Linked DNA regions of Arabidopsis thaliana. The protein of the gene in region 1 interacts with the protein of each later gene in a pairwise test. Each region holds a gene or a part of one and is shown in the gene's direction. Other genes may lie near its edges.

Region 1 (6,161 bases):
ACCACATTGTTCTTCTACTCTTCTCATTATCTTTGCTTGGGGTATGCAAAACTTATGGAAAAATGTCAGGAAAAACTACGAAAAATTGAAAAACAAGAAAGACGAAAATGGTAGAAACACTAAGAGGCAGAAGGAAGAGGACGAGGCGGCGGCAACATTTGACGGAGATTAGGACCACCGGTAGCTTTAAGTATGAAAGGATGCTGCAAAAGCTGTTGAGCTGACCATCTCTTAGGAGGATCACTCTGTAAACAACAAGAAACAAAGTGACGAAACTCCTGAGACGCCGTAGCCGGAGCTTCAGGTGGCTGAGACATACAAATAGCACACATAAGACTAGCCCAATCACCTTGTCTACTCACAGCAAAAGGAAACCTCCCCAAGTAAAACTCCAAGATACTAACACCTAAACTCCAAACATCTCCAGCATAACCATCGTAACGACCATGATTCAAATCAGTATTAATCCTCTCAGGACTCATATAAGCAATAGTACCAACAGATGAATTACAAGGATCCATTGTTTGTGCCAAGATCCTACTCACACCAAAATCAGCAATTTTCACATTTTTAGCTGAGTTTATAAGAAGATTCGAAGGTTTGATATCACGATGAACGATATGACGACGATGAAGATAAGCTAATCCACTAAGAATCTGACGAGAGAGATCAGCTAATTCCTGTTCTTGCCATATATGAGCTCCTTCAAGAGATCCTTGATCCATAAACTCAAGCAAAACCTGGATCTCACCGTTATGATCAAACATATCGTGACATTTCACAACGTTTGGATGATCAACACTTCTTAAGATCTCGATCTCTCTACAGATCTGACGTCTCACGGTATCTTCGTGGTTTCCGTAAATCACTTTGAGAGCGAAAGGACGTGACGTCGGAGTGTGGATTACTTTGTAAACCGTTCCTCCGGCTCCGCTTCCGATTCGGTTCACTCGTTCTAGCTCGGATAAGCTTTTAGCGGCGGAGATGTTGGTTGAGATCGCGGAGGAAGACGCCGGAGCGGATGAAGAGGAAGAAGGAGGTGGGAGAGGGAGAGGTACGGCGAGAGCGACGTCGCGGTGTGGGAGTGGTAAGCTTAGGTCAGGACGTTTGCGTAAACGGTTCTTCATAGGTGAAGCTACTCCAGAAGGAGATTGAATCGGTTTCATGGCTTTTAGAAGAAGAGGGAATCAAAAGTTTTTTTTTTTTTTCACAAGGTTGATTCTTTATCTTCCAGGTTTGTATTTATCATCATGATTGACTTGACTCTAGGGTTTGTTTGATTCGTCGTTTTTCAAAGAGATCAAATCAAGAGGAGAATGAAGCTTCATCGAAGAGATTTGTGAAAATGATTGTAAGAAACAAGAAAAAAAAAAAAAGTTAAAATGGTAAGACGAAGGTACGCGTTGATGGAAAGAGCGTGGAATACACTCGCACTTGTGTGGCTCTGTGTTGTTACACGTTAACCATGTTTTTTGTTTGGTCGGGTCTGAATTGGATTATAATATCATTAAGAGTGTTTAAGATCGTGGATTTAGATACTATAAATTTGGTGTTAGGTATTTAATATTTTTAGAAAGTAAGAAAATACAGATTAAAGTTTCTTTCCAATAAAAACAATTGAAAAAAGAAAAACTTAAAGTAATTATAATTCTAAAAAAATTAAAAACTAATTTTCTTTTTAAAGTTTTTAACAGAAAAAGAAAGAAATAAAATTAAAGTGGTACAGTGTTCACGTGCGATGCATGTGACTTAAAAAATAAGTTTGCCTTCTTTGCCGTCAATTCTTCCGCAGAAGTTTTTTCGAACAATCAATCTCTGACTCTCTGAGTAATTAGGTTTTTTTTTTATCTCATGGCCGGCGCCGGAATCCACCCATACCACCAGCAGTGGCCGCCGGCAGGTGCGCCGCCTCCTCCAGCCGCAGTATCATCAGCTGCTCCACCACATCCGCCGCCCATTCATCACCATCCTCCTCCTCCTCCTGTTTTAGTTGACAACCATAATCGTCCTCCTTATGACGAGGTTCAACTCTTTCTCTTTCTCTCTATACATATCGGTGATTCTTGTGCTGTGTTGTCGAGATGGGCTTGCTTGATTTTTGTTTACGTTGAGGTTTTAATTTGCCTGCTTTTTGATATACAATGTTAGCTTGATTTTGCTACGGAATCGATAAATTGTCCAAAGTTATGACCTTTTTGATAAGAATGATTTTTAAGTTTGTTACTAAAATCTCACTTATGACCTGTTGCATAAGTGAGAAAGGTTCTCTTATCTTGTCATGTAGTTGGAGTTTTCTGATTTTGGGAAAACGTGATCTCTTACACAAGTTTGAATCTGTTGTTCAGCTGCGGACAATCTTCATCGCAGGGCTTCCCGATGATGTAAAAGAGAGAGAGCTTTTGAATCTCTTGAGATGGTTGCCTGGTTACGAGGCTTCTCAGGTGAACTTCAAGGGAGAAAAGCCCATGGGGTTTGCTCTTTTCTCCACAGCTCAGTTTGCAATGGCAGCCAAAGATACCCTTCAGGTCTGTCTGCTTCTGATCATTGTTGACTCAGATCCTTTTTTGTCTTCACATTATGACATATGTTGTTCTTGGCATGCAGCATATGGTGTTTGATGCTGAGTCAAAGTCTGTGATACATACAGAGATGGCCAAGAAGAATCTTTTTGTTAAAAGAGGTTAGCTCTACCTTTATGACATAAAATGGCTGTATTTTATCTATCTTAAGCATTAGTCATGTTACTGAAGCATGTTTGATACAGTTTTGTGCATTTATACGGGGTCTCACTACACTCTCCCCTTTATCTAGTTTCTTACTTCCTTTGTTAATATCACAAACCATATATAACCTTTGAACTCAATCTTTATTCTGTAGGTATTGTTGGGGATTCAAATGCTTATGATCAAAGTAAGCGCCTACGAACTGGTGGTGACTGCACACACTCTGTGTATAGTCCATCTCCTTTCCATCCTCCACCTCCTCCTGTGTGGGGACCTCCTCATGGGTTAGGCATTTGCTTCTCCTTCATATTTCATATGCTGTGTAGAAATTGGACGATGTGTATTTGGTACACCGTTTTATGTTAAGTTGCTTATTTGACAAGAAGATAAATTGGTTCAGATATATGGCACCTGCACCTCCACCATATGATCCCTATGCAGGTTATCATGCTCCCCCTGTACCAATGCCTACGCCCCCACCTATAGCAGCTCCTAGTTCTTATGTGCCTGTCCAGGTGAAGTTGCACTGTTTTCATCATTTTATTTATCATATGGTGGTTGTGCAATTATATACCCGGAATCCATATTGTACTTGCCTCTCCTTGCCTAAAAATTACAATCTCGAACTTCATTCTAATTAGCTTACATGCTATACTCTCTGGTGGTTGTGTTGTGGAACAATAGTTGTTGCCTAATTTAAATGCATTGTCTACTGCTCTGAATTTGCTAAAGTTTCTGATTGTTTGATAAATTTTGTACCTAGTTTGATGAATATCTAGCCTAGGTTTGGTGATCTGATATATGTCTCATGTTGTTTTCAAATTTTTTTCAATTGCAGAATATTAAGGATAATCCACCTTGCAATACCCTATTTATTGGTAATCTTGGGGAGAATATAAACGAAGAAGAATTGAGGAGCCTGTTGAGTGCGTGAGTATCTGTTCCCTTTAGTGAGACTCCTGTCCATTGCTTTCCTTGAGATCTTGGCCTTTTTGTAGACCTGTGTTCTCAAGAATTCTGCGGTAAACTGTACTTTCATTTTGCAGGCAACCTGGTTTCAAACAAATGAAGATTCTGAGACAAGAAAGGCATACAGTTTGCTTTATTGAATTCGAGGTTAACTCTGAGACCTTCACCATCTGTGTATATGTGACAGAAAATATTCTTCTAGCATATTGTTAAATTCTTCTATCTGGACTTGCAGGATGTCAATAGTGCCACAAATGTTCACCATAATTTGCAAGGTGCTGTCATTCCAAGTTCTGGTTCAATTGGCATGAGGATCCAATATCCTTATATACTTTTACTCTTTCTGATTATTTAATATTCCAGTATGCCAAGTTCTTTTTTCTTTTCTGTTTGATTCTTCTTAACCCAATGATACATATTCAAAGAATCCATATGGGAAGAGAAAGGAAGGTGGCGGCTATTCTTTCTTTCCTTCTCCGAGTGCTAATGGAGCCCAAGGAGCCCTGACATATCAGTAGGCCTTGAAGGGGGACGTACTCTCTTCCTTATCTCCCAACAACTGCACGAATACGATGCATCTTCCAGGCAGTCTGCATTTCATCCATTTCCATTCTCGACATTTTTAAGCATCAGCATTGCTTTGTCATGTGTTGGGTGCATATAGTGTGACCTCATCAACATATAACATGTTTCAGTTTCTATTAGCTCTGCTACATGCATTCGCAGTGTGGTTTTTGATGATTGTTTGAATTATATAGGAGTTTGGTTTGCTATTTGTTTATCTTATTGCGGCTTTAATACATCACTTTGTGGGATTCATTTTCATCATTCTGATCGATTCATCCTAATGAAACGTTAGCTAGGAAAAAACATAACATTACATTAGATCATAACATGATAACATCCGGAGGCCTTCCATCAACTTCGTTTCACTGCATGGACACGGAATGTTGCTCTCATGATTGATTCATCCTAACGAAACTCCATTTGCTATGTTAGCTGATATACCATTACATTAGATCATAACATGATAACATCCAGAGGGGTTTGATCAACTTCGTTTCACTGCATAGACATGGAATATTACTCTCATGATCTATCACATCGGTTTCATTCTTCAGCATTTCCCATGTCGATCATTCTCTGTTCTTACTTAGGCTGATGAACAAGCACATCCGTTTTGTCAGAAGTTGACAGCTGATATAACATTTGAAGATAGGCATTCCATTACATTGTAGGTTTATTATAGTTGAGCAAACATATATACATTCCCAGCTCTGGCTTGGCCTTATGCAGGGACAATCCGTAAAGAGAAAGCCCAAGCTCTCGAATAGAGATGCGTTTCACCTACAAAGTTGAGGTAAGGTCATCTTCGGACGTCCAGGAACAGAGCCAGGAGTTCCTAAGAGCCTATCTTTTTACAATGGAGTCTACTTATCCAATCCAACTTATCTCTTTTCTAACTGATGTTTCTGTACGGCTTTGGGCTACTTGACTCTGGATGTGAAAACCAGAAGCGAATTTAGTGATTCTTCAAATGAGAAAGTTTCTCTTCCATTTTCAAGAACAATGTGTGTATAATTGGTCGCTTACTTATCAGATTTTGAGGTATAGGATCTCTAGGGCCTAGTTTCATGTTTTGTTTCTCTGAATTCGAACCATGGTAAATTTGCTGTAAAGAGAGGTAGGTAATATAATTAACCCAAGAGACAACCCAAGAAGAATCGATAAAGGAGTGTCTCAACTCTCAAGTAAGAAACATGTTTTCATTATTATGATTGGCGAGTCTCAAGCTTTCATCACTGTAGACAACAAAGAAAAAGATTTGTTGCACAAAAGGGTTTGTGCATTCCTTAGACCAACTTTCCAGAGAAGCAAAACATCTAAAACCACAAAACCATGGTCTTAAAAGAAAATTCTTAAACGTCAGGTGTGTCTGAGCGCAGAACTGTCAAGAAAAACAAGATAAAGAGTTGGGAGGTTAATAAAAAGAAGAAAAAAAATATAAAACGGAACTGAGAGGTAAAAGATTGAAACCCCTCTTCAAGTTGTTCAAGTAAAGATCATCAAGCAAAAGGTAGAGATGTCGATCAAATTGGTGGAACAAACGCACGGAGAGGGAGGAGAATCGTGAGTAACGTGCCTGGTTTCTGAGGCTTTCCATCGGACCATTTTGGAGAGGGAGAAGTGAACCTTGTCGCGATTGATTGTTTCAGCTTTGAATGGTTCTTTGAGACGGATATACGCCGTCCCCATACTCGTTCTCAGCCCATTTTAGGCCTTTCTGAATTAGGCCCAAATACGTTTACGTGTTTTTAGAGGAAAACTTTCAACGTGCATGTCAAAGACAAATTGTTTGTTTATTTTCTCATCAAGCAAGACAGAGACTACTATTTTGCTTTTTTTAAAAGAAAACGATGTAGCATTTTCCTTGTCGAGAAGCTAAGGAAACCTGACAAAAATGCAAGG
Region 2 (5,772 bases), on another chromosome or scaffold:
GCCATTAGGCTGTTCTTCAACCCTGACAAGCAAAACAGGGCAGACTTCAAAGTTGAAGAATTTAAACGTATAAACATAACATCTAAACGTGTTATCATCAACTCTCTCAATCCTCTCCGCATCAAGCACCGAGTACTGACTCGCAGGTAAGCTCATATACTCAACTGCAAACCATAAACAAAAAGCAAATTCAAAATCAAACAATCCGATCCAGATTTAATCATCCACAGGAAACAGAAATTTAGATCAGAGAGAATCGCGCTGAAGTTACTTAGAGGTCGCTGTAGCTGACGAACGGAGACGGATTGTTTCTGACGAGCGATGAATCGAGCTTTGGGGGTAGAACTAGAGGAGACGCGTATAGGTGACGTAGAAGAGGAAGTGGCGAGAGAAGAAGGTTTGGGTGATTCGTCAAAGGACGATGAGCTAGTGATGGTGAAGGAGAGAGCTGGATTTCTAGGGTTTCGATTCGTCTTCTTCGCCGAGAACGACAGAGAGGTAAGTCTAAGCGTAGCTGAGCTCAACGCCATAGCTAAAACGACGGCGTTTTAGGATATGAGATGTTTAACGACTAACGGCTTAGCTTAAACACACAAGCGAAGGAGAGAGAGTGAGAGAAACGTGATAAGATTATTGGGACGACGAAGATTTGGGAGGTGGCACCACCATCACCACCTGCTTCGACTGCGCATGTTAGCCTGCTGACGTTGTTTCGTTCGCTACAGTTAAAATACGCTGAATATTGAAAGCAAGCCCAACAAGAGCCCGTGAAATGTATATATTGGGCCAACAACGAATAACCTTCGCAATTTGAGTAAGTAAATATGAAAATGTCATGTAACCAGACTCGGTTGGATCCATAACACTTGTCAGTATTTTTGATTAAAATAATTAGTTTTTTTCCTAATTAAAGAGTACAAAATTAATTAAGAAAATGCGAAAAAGAGTTATCTAATTATTGAAAATAATAATGTGTGAGGAATTTGATTACTAATTTTAAAGTTCACAAAATAACATGATTATTTTATTGAAGGTTTTAACCAATGAATCTGTAGTCGTGAAGAAAACACAGGTTGCCACTTCCCATTATTTATTTTGGCTAAAGAGCCACTTCCCATTATTGCCGGGCTAAAAAACCAAAATCACCTTATAATAATATTGAACTTACATTATTAAATCGACCGATTCAAATCATAAACATGCATTACCATTAATCGTATCTATCGTCTTCGTCAACTCTACCGTACAATTTGATAAACATATATTTACTGCAATTCAAGATCTAACAAACTATGAAAATAAATCAAACCAATGCAATAAAATCAAATTCTAAAATGAGAAAATAGAGAGAAAAAGACACATATTGCCATTTTTATTTTATTATTATCATGTTCATTCTATTGCTTTAAAATTGTAGAAAAATGATAATTTTGGTGTTTTATTTTCTAATTATGTTTTATTTCGTAGCACATTTTGATGTTAACACATTTTGTAGTTGAGTTGATTTGATATTTTAACAAATAAAAAGTGAGATGATTGTGAAAGAGGAAAAAAAAATTAAAAAAGAAATAGAGAGGCGGTCAATAAAATTAAATTTAGGAAAAATAAAAAATAATAGAATAAGGGAGGCTAGTGGATAGATAGACGAAGGACACCAGAGCCACCTTCATTCACTTCACAAACCGCTCGGCGACAAAGACGAAGAAGCCGAGGAAGCACCGATACGACGATTGAGACTTAGTTTTGCTCAGATTCATTTAACCACCGGCGCCAAGTGACGACGACGACGGAGGGAGCAGATTCGAATTGTGTGAAGACAGGTAAACTTTGGAATTTTTCCTTCTCAATCTCAGATTTCGATGAACGAGTCTTATCTCTTCCTCTCTCTCCGATTTCGTTCTTATTTCTCTTCATTGAATTGATAATGTCGATTGGTTAATGCCGTTTATCTTCTGTAGCAGCAATGGAGTCTACTGAGTCATATGCGGCAGGTTCACCGGAAGAGCTGGCTAAGAGATCCCCTGAACCGCATGATTCTTCCGAAGCTGGTATTTTCGATCCGATCTGGTCTTCTGTTTTTTTTTCTCCTTCGACTCTGACTCAATTGTTTCGGTATTTCGTCACATTCGTGAATCGGATCTCGTTTAAGTACTCTGTGATATGTCAACGGACATGTGTGATTAATGTCTTTTTTTGCTGATGAAAACTTGTGAGAATGTTTCCTGTGTGATAGATTCATTTTCCAAGGATGGTTAAATTACGCTGTTTCAATTCAATGATTAGCTCAATACTGATGCGGTTTAGTGAACCATGCTATCTATTTGACTATCTAATGTGTTTTCCTCTTTTCAGATTCTGCTGAGAAGCCAACACACATTCGGTTTCTTGTATCCAATGCGGCAGCTGGTTCCGTCATTGGGAAAGGTGGCTCGACCATCACTGAATTTCAGGCAAAGTCTGGGGCAAGGATTCAGCTTTCACGTAATCAAGAGTTTTTCCCGGGGACGACTGACAGAATTATTATGATATCGGGATCAATCAAAGAAGTTGTCAATGGACTGGAACTTATCCTTGATAAATTGCACAGTGAGGTAATCTTTTTTGACAAATTTGTATTTCATGTCACAGTTGCGTTTATTTAGTTTATATAGTATGTCACAATGAAATCAGTTTTAACTTTTCTATCTGTTTGCTAGCTTCATGCTGAAGATGGTAATGAGGTTGAGCCTAGGAGAAGAATTAGACTTGTGGTTCCTAACAGTTCTTGTGGAGGTATAATCGGAAAAGGAGGGGCCACCATCAAGTAAGTTTCCGTTCTGTATTTGTTGCAGCAGTTTCTTTGAGGTTTTCAGACCTTCTATAATCCATAGCCTGTTTCCTTTGACACCATTTCCTACAGCACGCTTAACCACCAAATATCATCTATAATGTATCTGGTTATGTTCTTGCATTGTTTCTATGTTCAAATCTTCTCTGGTTCATATCTTTAAGAGAGCAATTATTTTCTCTGAATGCATGCATAAACAAGTCAAGACCCTATATATAACAGGTGAACAAAGTTTCTGAGTATTAGATATGACTCAGATTGCAGTAGTTTATGCGTATGGAATATCTAGTTCCTTTTAAGTTCTAGAATATGGCATTGCTTTTATGTTTTTTTCCAAGGAATACTGATTTCAGTTGTACTGCTGTCACTAACCCTCAAGACATTTCTTTCTTTGCAAAAAGGTCATTCATTGAGGAATCTAAAGCTGGTATTAAGATATCCCCTCTGGATAATACCTTTTATGGGTTGAGCGATAGGTTAGTGACATTATCTGGGACCTTCGAGGAGCAGATGCGGGCAATCGATTTGATTTTGGCTAAGCTTACTGAGGACGATCATTACTCCCAGAATGTGCATTCCCCATATTCATATGCAGGTATATCAACTCAGTACTTGCTTAGTTAGGTTTGTTATCCTCCTTGAAGCTTCTTTTGTTATCGTGTTCTGTATGTCTTTGATTGCATTTATTCATGTTGGAAAGCAATATAGTAAATGGTTAGATCATTTCCGGAGTTTCCTTTGACAATTGAATTGACACTATCAAATTATTTGTTTTAAGACTGTTTAGTCACTACACATGGACAGGCGTAGATAGGCTAGAAATCACAGTACAAGGTTTTTGATTTCTTGTTTTAGGGTCATGTGAACAATCTAAGTGTCAAGTGTAGATGCTGGATCATATCCCTTGATAAAAATGTAAGATTAGAGTAGGATTTTCTACTGAGTTTTAGATTGTCAGATGTCAACTAAGGTATAGTAATGGCATTTAGTATCTTTCATCTCACATGGACCTTCTTTCCATTTTGAGGGTTGTGTATGATGGTTGTCTGTTGTAGCTTAATTCTCTTGTAAGTTCCTTTAAACTCGGCATTTTAGGTCTTTTCTACTCTGGTTTTCATGGTCCTCCATATGCGTATGCGCTTCCTTCTGTTGCAACAGCGGGATACAATTCGGTTAACTACGCACCCAACGGTTCTGGAGGCAAGTATCAAAACCACAAGGTTAGCCTCTTCTCACAATCTTCCACCCTATTAGTATTTATGCGTTTATATGAATCAATCTCTATTTGTGTTACTACTATGGATAATATGGTGTTACAAGTCATATCTTCCACCCTATTTATGTAAACGCATATATACATGAAAAATCCCTATCGATGTTATTACTATGATTGTTTGGATCAATTCGTACTACAGAAACTTTAGGAGATACCAATGTGAAATCTACATCTGATATTTGTTAGGAATTAGGCTTATTAAAAGGATTGGTGATGCTTTTAATGAACCAAACTACGAAAATAAATTTGATCGGAGATGCAATTCCTGTCACGTCTTACTGTGATAATAAGATGGCATTTTGGTATTTAAACAGCTAGAGATTCGTTTTTTTCTACATTACTTAAGCTGTGTTTTGACATATATTCCAGGAAGAAGCTAGTACCACGGTGACAATTGGTGTTGCGGATGAGCATATAGGATTGGTGCTTGGACGTGGAGGAAGAAACATCATGGAAATCACTCAGGTATTTGGCAACCCTTAGTTAAAACTCTTTCGGTCCACTGAAACTTAAAACCCACTTTTCTTCCCGCAGATGACTGGTGCCCGAATTAAAATATCAGACCGAGGTGATTTTATGTCTGGAACCACTGATAGGTAAAGTTACGATTATTGGAGAGTTACAACAGAACAATGTGTTTGATACCTCTCATGTCTAACTTGATATAAATGGAAAATATGGACAGGAAAGTGAGTATCACAGGGCCACAGAGAGCAATCCAACAAGCTGAGACAATGATAAAACAGAAAGTTGATTCAGCCACAGAGAGAACCACCGATTGAAACCGTTAAGAGAATCCATCTCGGTTCCTATCTTTGGTCTGTTGACTTCATTTGTGGAGGCTTAAGCTATCGGATGGGGATCATTAATCATCTTTGAGTGAGGCAGAGATTTCTCTCTAGGAGCTCTCTTTCGTTTTATTTATATGTCGACATTATATAATGTGTTTTTCTCTGGGAGAGAAGCAGATTTGGAGTTAGAGAAGTACTATTTTCATTTGTTCTTTTAATAACTTTGTTGCAATTTGTTGAAGTTTTGTTTCCCTTGAGTTCTTTCTGTTGTAACAATTTACAATAACCAGCCATTACATTGCATTTGCTTCTTTCTTTTATCAACTATTTTCAGTTCATGATACCAAAACGTGTTGTGTCGGTATAGGACTTAGGAGGATGGTAAATACTAAGCTCTTCAAAAATCAACTCCGTAAAAGTTTTATCTTCTGCTGTTTACACATCAGACCCTTACTTTTCTCTATTTACATAATTCAGATCTTGTAAATTTTCTCCCAGACTCTTCAGTAAATATCAAGTTATGGATCCTGAAACTTTTATTTAACTACAAGTGCTCGGATCTTTTACTATTTACAAGTAAGACTTGTATCTTCTGATAATTATATATATGACGAGGAACAGTTTTCTATTTTCTGAAGTACCCCTAATATTTGGGTACTAAACACAGAAGCACCCATATCCTTTGCTAGTGTACGTAATTGACCCAAACTTTTTAATTAGTATATACACTTGGAGATACGATCTCGCTTCTCACAATCCTTCTCCCTCTCCGGCTCCGAACCATTCACGTTCTCCGGCAGCTCTGGTCATCGCCGCCATTTCGGTTTCTAACTTTATGTTGGTGTTTCTCCTTCCCTTTATTTCTCAGTTATCACTTA

What was found. The genes of interacting proteins can lie anywhere in the genome.
Region 2: the proteins of AT3G21215 (region 1) and BTR1L interact in a two-hybrid assay, tested with the Arabidopsis thaliana proteins (2 studies listed by BioGRID).

What each region holds. Positions count from the first base shown.
Region 1 is NC_003074.8:7,440,922-7,447,082, reverse strand, and holds AT3G21215 (RNA-binding (RRM/RBD/RNP motifs) family protein), read left to right. Parts: upstream 1-1,770; 5' UTR 1,771-1,851; coding exon 1,852-2,022; intron 2,023-2,345; coding exon 2,346-2,525; intron 2,526-2,604; coding exon 2,605-2,680; intron 2,681-2,877; coding exon 2,878-3,007; intron 3,008-3,123; coding exon 3,124-3,238; intron 3,239-3,561; coding exon 3,562-3,653; intron 3,654-3,769; coding exon 3,770-3,839; intron 3,840-3,927; coding exon 3,928-4,010; coding exon of another isoform or gene 4,011-4,047; exon of another isoform or gene 4,048-4,107; coding exon 4,108-4,210; 3' UTR 4,211-5,632; downstream 5,633-6,161. Other genes in the region: MKK5 (MAP kinase kinase 5), read right to left, coding at 120-1,166.
Region 2 is NC_003076.8:1,249,715-1,255,486, reverse strand, and holds BTR1L (binding to TOMV RNA 1L (long form)), read left to right. Parts: upstream 1-1,533; 5' UTR 1,534-1,820; intron 1,821-1,961; 5' UTR 1,962-1,963; coding exon 1,964-2,048; intron 2,049-2,352; coding exon 2,353-2,591; intron 2,592-2,696; coding exon 2,697-2,803; intron 2,804-3,228; coding exon 3,229-3,422; intron 3,423-3,922; coding exon 3,923-4,047; intron 4,048-4,472; coding exon 4,473-4,568; intron 4,569-4,637; coding exon 4,638-4,699; intron 4,700-4,788; coding exon 4,789-4,885; 3' UTR 4,886-5,239; downstream 5,240-5,772. Other genes in the region: AT5G04440 (RAP release 2, galactose-binding-like domain protein, putative (DUF1997)), read right to left, coding at 1-164, 272-530.